Macaca fascicularis: one gene and its partner. Each later gene encodes a partner of the first gene's protein in a complex. Links are inferred from orthologs where the notes say so. Each region holds a gene or a part of one and is shown on either strand. Other genes may lie near its edges.

What was found. The genes of interacting proteins can lie anywhere in the genome.
Region 2: the proteins of RNH1 (region 1) and RNASE1 are in contact, whole or in part, in a crystal structure (PDB 3TSR), measured with the Mus musculus proteins. The link is inferred for Macaca fascicularis from reciprocal best matches to the Homo sapiens genes RNH1 and RNASE1. Residues at the interface, in NP_001165571.1 of Mus musculus: Cys7, Asp32, Thr60, Asn89, Asp117, Glu145, Tyr146, Asn174, Glu202, Trp257, Trp259, Glu283, Ser285, Trp314, Lys316, Glu340, Glu397, Ser401, Asn402, Gln426, Val428, Tyr430, Asp431, Ile432, Tyr433, Trp434, Thr435, Asn436, Glu437, Arg443; in NP_035401.2 of Mus musculus: Arg26, Glu27, Lys32, Gln36, Pro48, Thr49, Gln53, Lys56, Arg57, Met60, Asn62, Gly63, Ser64, Cys65, Lys66, Pro67, Val68, Asn92, Lys94, Asn96, Leu111, Lys112, Gly113, Asn114, Ser115, Lys116, Asp121, Ala134, Glu136, Val143.

The regions. Positions count from the first base shown.
Region 1 is NC_088388.1:396,492-400,135, forward strand, and holds part of RNH1 (ribonuclease inhibitor), read right to left. Parts: intron 2,919-3,644; coding exon 2,748-2,918; intron 2,272-2,747; coding exon 2,101-2,271; intron 1,498-2,100; coding exon 1,327-1,497; intron 1,249-1,326; coding exon 1,078-1,248; intron 940-1,077; coding exon 769-939; intron 456-768; coding exon 285-455; exon of another isoform or gene 1-284. UniProt on the Homo sapiens protein: Ribonuclease inhibitor which inhibits RNASE1, RNASE2 and angiogenin (ANG). May play a role in redox homeostasis. Required to inhibit the cytotoxic tRNA ribonuclease activity of ANG in the cytoplasm in absence of stress.
Region 2 is NC_088381.1:88,468,438-88,471,980, forward strand, and holds RNASE1 (ribonuclease pancreatic), read right to left. Parts: upstream 2,069-3,543; 5' UTR 2,021-2,068; intron 1,556-2,020; exon of another isoform or gene 1,473-1,555; intron 1,318-1,472; 5' UTR 1,293-1,317; coding exon 834-1,292; 3' UTR 590-833; downstream 1-589. UniProt on the Homo sapiens protein: Endonuclease that catalyzes the cleavage of RNA on the 3' side of pyrimidine nucleotides. Acts on single-stranded and double-stranded RNA.

The DNA of each region.
Region 1 (3,644 bases):
ACATGGACACTTGTGCTCTCTTGCCCATGTGCTCACAGACACCCATGCTCACACTCATGCTCACACACACGTGCTCACATACGCCTCACCCATGTGCACACTCATGCTCACACACTCGTGCTCACACCCACATGTGCTCACACACGGACACTTGCGCTCACTCTCACCCATGTGCTCGCACACACGGACACTCGTGCTCAGACACTTGTGCTCACTCGCCCATGTGCTCACACACGTGCACATGACCTCCCAAATATGTGTACTCGTGTCCCTCTCACACTCACCAGAGCACCCGCAGCACGGAGCCGGGCTGGCCCAAGCCCTTGCAGAGTTCCTGCACGCCCGCGTCCCCCAGCCTGTTGTTGCTTATCTGCAGCTCCAGGAGAAACTTATTCTGGGTCAGCACCGAGCTGAAGTGGGAGCAGCAGGCGGCTGTGAAGCTGCAGGACTTCACCCTGTGGACGGACAGGACTGAGGCCTGGCAGCGGACCAGGCTGGCCCACAATTGCAACTGGCCCTTCTCCTGAAAGCCCCACATGGACCTGAGCAAAAACATCTGAGAGCCTCCTGAGGTGTGGGCACCTGCACCTGGTCCTCAGCCCCAAGCACCGTTACTATCAAACCACAGGCTGCTCCCTGGCCCATGCATTCTGAACGCCAGAGCTGAGCCCAGCACCTCCACTGGAGTCGCTCACTCCTCCCCTGGTCTCCTTGGTGACCCTGGCCCTCTCTTGGGCGACAGGGCCCTGCCCCGACAGCCACACTCACCACAGTGACTCCAGCTGGCAGCCGGGCTCCAGCAGCGTCTCACACAGCAGCCGGGCACCCTCGTCCCCCAGCTCGTTGCCGGCCAGGCTGAGCTCCTTCAGGCTCTCCTTGGTCCTGAGGACACGGCACAGATCCGCGCAGCCCTTGGCGGTGATGCCACACTCCCAGATCCTGCAGGACATGGACCCCCCCAGACTTTCCTTAGCGCCATCTCATGGCCTGAGGCGCGCCCAGCGGGTGGGGGAGGGCTCTGAGGACGGCCCGCGGCCCCTGACCCTCCAGGAAGGAGGCCTCGGGGAGGTGACTCACCACAGGGTCCTGAGGCTGGAGCTGGGGTGGAGCAGCCCTGGGCACAGCTCTGCAATGCCCACATCACCCAGCTTGTTGCTGCCCAGGGCCAGCTCCCGCAGCGAGGCCTTGGAGGCCACGATGCTGCACAGGTCCCGGCAGTTGTTTGACGTGATACCACAGCTCTCCAGCCTGGGGATGCAGGTCACGCGTGAAGCAGCATGGGACCCCCGGCCCACACCCCGCACCTCCCCAAGGCCCAGGGCCTACTTGAGCGCCTCCAGCTGGCAGGGGGAATCCTTCAGGCCCTGGCACAGCACACGGACGCCGGCCTCATTGATGTCGTTGTTGCTAACCGTGAGCTCCTTGAAGTCCGGCTTGGCCCTGAGCACGGAGGCCAGGGGCTCGCAGCTGGCAGCCGAGAGGTTGCAATACTCAAGCCTGGGGGGTAGCCGAGCTTAGCACCACACAGGAATGTGCACCAGCCAAGGGTGTGATGCCAGGGAGTGCAGGGGGGTGCTGGTGTCTCATCTCTCCCTCAGCCTTCTCCTGCCTAGGCATCAGGTGGCAGTGCTGAGGGCCCCCCCAGACTCATCCAGAGGCCCAGGCCTCTGTGGACACCGGCATTCCTTCTGGAAACCCCTCACCCCCTCCCCGACCTCGGACCTCGGGGCCCAACCAGGCCCAGGACAAAGAAACCAGCCTCTGGAGGGCAGGGCCGCCTGCACGTGCCAGGCCGTGGTCAACTCACAGTGGCCGGGCCCCCCACACACACTGAAGTGGTGAGTGGAGCCGGACTCACGGCCAGGTCTGTTCCCACTGTCAGGTCCTGGGGCAGCTGTGCCTTGCAAAGGGCAACTGGAGGGGGAGGGAGGGTGACGACAGATCCCCCCAGTCCCAGCATCATGGAGAGGGGAGAGCACCACAAGGACCCTGTGACCTGAGTCCCTCCTCACGGCTCCTGGCAGGCGATGTGCTATATAGGGGGCTGGCTGGGGGACAGGCAGTGGAGAGCACAGGTCCCGGGGCAGGGGACACACTCACTGCAGCTTTTCCAGGCGGCACTGGGGGTCCAGGAGTCCCTCGCAGAGCAGCTGCAGGCCCGCATCCCCCAAGAGGTTGTCGCTGAGGTGCAGCTCCTGAAGCGTGGGCAGGGAGCGTAGCGTGCCGGACAGGACCCCGCAGCCGGCCCCCGTCAGGTAGCAGTTCTGGAGGCTGGAGCATACCTGGCCGTCAGCAGGGCTCCCCTGAGCCAAACTGCCACACCCTTCACCTGCCAGAGCCTGGAGCCCGGAGCGGCGCTCTGCAGGCGGTAGGTCTGTACTGCTCCTTCCCTGGACAGGGCTCTGGGGTCTCCAGGCCGAGTGAAAGAGGGCACACGTGTGGCTCGGCTCAGGGAAACCTTGTCTGCAGACACACCCTTCAGCAGGGGTCCTGTGGTGATGCTGGAAGGCCAGGGATGGCGGGCGGGCCCAGACCTTGGGCGCAGGGGCTGGGACAAGGCAGGAGGGGCCCTGTCCCCCCGCCGTGAGGCCACCAGGCCTGTGTGCCTCTGGCTGATGCTGGAAATGCCCGCTGCCACCGCCTGCCCACCCACAGCTGCCCACGAGCCCCTGGCAGCTTTGTCCCCTGCTGCCGGGCTACCAAAGCAGGCCGCACCAGGCCAGAGGCAGTGCCAGGCCCCACCTCACCTCAGCTTCTGGATCTTGCAGGAGGGGCTCTGCAGGCCCTGGAGCACGCAGTGCACGCCGGCATCACCCAGCTCATTGCTGCGCAGGCTGAGTTCTGTCAGTGCAGGGTTGACTCGGAGTGCCGAGCTGATGTCGCCGCACCGTGCCTCTGTGAGGCCACAGTCGTCCAGCCTGCAACCAGACCCCAGGGTCATGCGGGCCACGCTCAGGCTCCTCCACTACCCTACGCGCAGATTACAACCCATCAGCGGGCCCAGAAGACAGCACGGCAAGTCACACAGGACGTTGCAGAAATGAAACAAAAAAGAGGAGAACTGTTCTGTGAAAGTTTTAAGGCCGGGCGCGGTGGCTCAAGCCTGTAATCCCAGCACTTTGGGAGGCCGAGACGGGCGGATCACGAGGTCAGGAGATCGAAACCATCCTGGCTAACACGGTGAAACCCCGTCTCTATTAAGAAATACAAAAAACTAGCCGGGCGAGGTGGCGGGCGCCTGTAGTCCCAGCTACTCGGGAGGCTGAGGCCGGAGAATGGCGTGAACCCGGGAGGCGGAGCTTGCAGTGAGCTGAGATCCGGCCACTGCACTCCAGCCTGGGCGACAGAGCGAGACTCCGTCTCAAAAAAAAAAAAAAAAAAAGAAAGTTTTAAGATGCTTGCACGTATGCAGACGTGTGCCTGAGGCCTCACGTGCTCCTCGCCTCCAACCCTGAGGCACGAAGCACAAAAGCTCCTGGTCTGTCTCTAGGGAAAAAAATCAAACCTGTCTGAGGTGACACCTACGGGAACTGCCTGGAACAGGACGCAGCAGGTAGTTCAGACACCGGAGCAAATACACAGTGACACCAGCTTCTAACATGACAAATACACATACTCCAGTCCTTCCTGATTAAATGAATAAC
Region 2 (3,543 bases), on another chromosome or scaffold:
CAGGTGTAAGCCACCATGCCCGACCGGCACTTCCAATTAGAGTTGGTACACAAACTGAAATCTACTTGCTATCCCTCAATTCCATGCTCTCCAAAGTCACTTCTAGCTCTAAAATGTAAGATTCTGACTTTCCAACTAAGAGGTGCCCATTTTTCTGATTTAGTAATAGCTTACTCAAAAAAAAAAAAAAAAAAAAGGAGAATGGAAATTTAGGATCATCATTTCATTGACTCCTCTTCCTCATCCTGAGGCTAAGCAGGGTCTTCCTGAGGTTGCACTCACCTTCCTTCTGTGCCACAGAATGACTGTATTTGAGCTTCACCCCTCTGTCAGTTCACCCTGCATGGCAGTGTCCCAGGCTGTTGCTCCCTTTTGTCTAGAACAGCCCACACTTAATAGTTTTAGGTTTGGCATCAAGGAATCTACAAGGAAAGGAATTTTCTCAAGCCACTAAAATCCAAGTCAGAAGGGAAAGCATTTAATTACTTCATTCACCGTTCTCCAAAGCGAATCAGATTTACAGTTCTTGCCCCTTGCTGGAAGCCAATGCCAGAAACAGTACCTAGACAGAACCGCTTCAGAAATCAAGTGCTTGCAACTGTGTTTTATTGAAAGAAAGAGTGGAGGGGTTAACATGGGGCCCACCTCACAACCCACTCTTCACCCCCAAAATCACGCAGGGGTGGGACTCAGGAAAAGGAAGCATGAGTGTGTTGACTAGGAGCCCTAACTGGAGTTACATCTTTCATAGCAGGGAAGGAAGAGGGAAGAGGGAAGAGGCAGCTGTGGAAAGGATGAGGCTGAGGGAGGTGGGGTATCTCGCTGCTCTGACCTTAGGTTGAGTCCTCCACAGAAGCATCGAAGTGGACTGGCACATGTGGGCTCCCTTCACAGGCCACAATGATGTGTCTCTCCTTCGGGCTGGTCCGGTATGCACAGTTGGGGTACCTGGAGCCGTTTGTCAGGCGGCAGTCTGTGATGTGCATGCTGGACTTGCTCTTGAAGCAGTTGGTCTGCCCGTTCTTGCAGGTGACCTTTTCCTGGAAGCAGACATTCTGGACATCTACCAGGGGCTCATGCACAAAGGTGTTCACTGGTTTGCACCGCCCGTGCGTCATACTCCGGCGCTTCATCATTTGGTTGCAGTAGGTGGAGTTGCTGCTGGGGGAACTGCCTGAGTCCATGTGCTGCCGCTGGAATTTCTTGGCCCGGGATTCCCTGCCCAGGCAGCCCAGCACCAGCAGCACCAGGACAAGCAGAGGGAGCAGGATGACAGACTTATCCAGAGCCATGGTGGCCTCACTTTCCCGGAAAAGCCTAATTGAGAAAAGGAGACAGAAGGAAAAGAGCCCTCTTAGAAAAAGAACTCCAGCTCCCACCTATGGCTTCCCTGGCTTACAGTTTCTGTCTCAGGTCAACCAGAAAGATGTCCGTCCCACTTCCTGAGGTTTTTTGTGTAATGAGACACTCACGTGTATCCTTCTCCACAAGCGTTTTATTGCCACTCTCCAAAGCGAGGTCTTTTTCCCGTTTAGGTGGTGACCTACGAAGTGACCTAAAATCCTGTCAGTTTCTATCTTTGAATACTGGTGTTTCTTTGATCCAAAATACATTTGTATCCAGTGCTCAAATGGCTCATCGAAACATCAGTTTGAATAAATCATGAACCAAATTGTATCCCCAACATCTAGGACCATGGGTGACAGAGTCTTGTTGTCTTACAGCATAAGGGAACTCAGGCCAGTGCCTGACACTGGCCTCATAAAGGATTCCGTTGTATTCCAAAGAGAAATGCTGGCTTCCCCCAACTTGAGGGCTCCTTCTTTTCCAGTTCCATGGATGCTCTGCAGCCTGCACGTTCCACCCCGACCCCTCTGCCTCCAGCTGATGTTTGCCTGGGCCACATTTTTTCAGCGCTAGCATCATCCAAGCTTTCTCAGTGCTGTGGACTGGCCCTAGCTTCTTCCTCTCCAACCCTGAAGCAGAAGCGGCACCTGAGAACACCTCTTGGACTGCTTACCTGGATCCGCAGCTTGGTGTCTGAGAGAGATGGAAGGCCAGTTTCTGCAGTCACTCAGCTCCTGGGGTATGGACCTTATACAGATTACAAAGGGGTTTGGCTTCCAAGAGGAAAAGGGTGGGAGGAGCATATCGAACTCAGTTGAAATAAAATCAAGGACGTGAGGAAGGAGTGGTGAATCACCCAGGCCACCATCTTTCCAGGGCTGCTGAAGAAAGAGCAAATCTTTGCCTACATTAGTCTTTCCTCCTATGTAAACCACATCTGTCTGCTGATGCACAAGGAGCAGCAGAGAAAGCCACTACAGCACTGGTGCCCAAACCTGACACACTAGGGACAAAGTCCTTGTTACTTCTTCGTGGGCCGTTTTCACCAAGTAGACTTGGAGGTTAACAAAGGACGCAAAAGGTGATCACGGGAAAGGGAGGCCCTCTCCTCAGGAGAGGTACTGATGGGAGATGTGGAATTCTGGCCAAGGCTATTCCAGGGCTCCTAGGGAGCAAAACCCAAGTCTCTTTTTAGGAGGGTATTCTCCCAACAGTACCTCTCCCGGGGGTGGAAGGTGGGGTCGAGGGGAATGGAGGCTGTCCTGCTGCCCCCAGCTGGAAGGCTTCCCAGATCTGGAGAAGAAACGGGGAGTAACTGAATAGGGAGGAGGAGGAAGCTTCTAGGGTGAGCTCACCCAGTTCTGGTCACTTCCCGCCCACCCTCCTCCCCCTGCTCTGGGGGCATCGAGAGGATGGAGCTGTTCTTATCTACTGATCAGAACCACTGGTAGGTGGGAATTGAGTAGAGAAACTGAAGATAAACTTAAATCCCAAATCTCAAATTCTTTTTGGGTAAAAAATACAAAGCATATCATATTTGTTAGCAGCAGAATGCACTCCTAGAAAGAGACCTGTCCTTTTGCTGAGTAACAATTTGGATACCTGTGGAGTAAGAATTATCAAAATATCCCTTCGTGCTCTGTATTCAGACTGTTTCAGCCTTTCTGTGTAAAAAGTGGCCATGGTGAAATTATCTGACCTACGTTGTGTGGTTGTAGGTCATAAGATCCTCATTCCAAAGAAGGTCCTGCCCCCCACACCCAGAAAAAAGAACGACTGCTCAGGGAGGCCAAGAAGAATCTAGACAGGGAGGCCTTGCTGGGTTTCCCCACTCAGTCTATTTTCATTAGATCTCACCCCTGTTGTCCAATCACATTTCTACACAGCTGTTCATACTTTGTTGATACCTAAGTGTAAAAATGCCCACTTTCCCCTCTATCTTTGGGTCTTCTGAAGGCCCCCGTGTTGTGTTAAGGAAGGAGACCACTACTACTCCTGCTGCCCTCCTCCCCCCACCTTGCCTAGTTCACAAGACAGGAAGAAACAGACAAAGAAACAAAAGAAAGATAAACAGCCAGACAACCTTGGCACCACCACCCGACCCTAGGAGTTAAAAAAAGTAATAATAATAACATCAACCCCTGACCTAAACTGCTTGTGTTATCTGTAAATTCCAGACACTGTATGAAAAAAGCA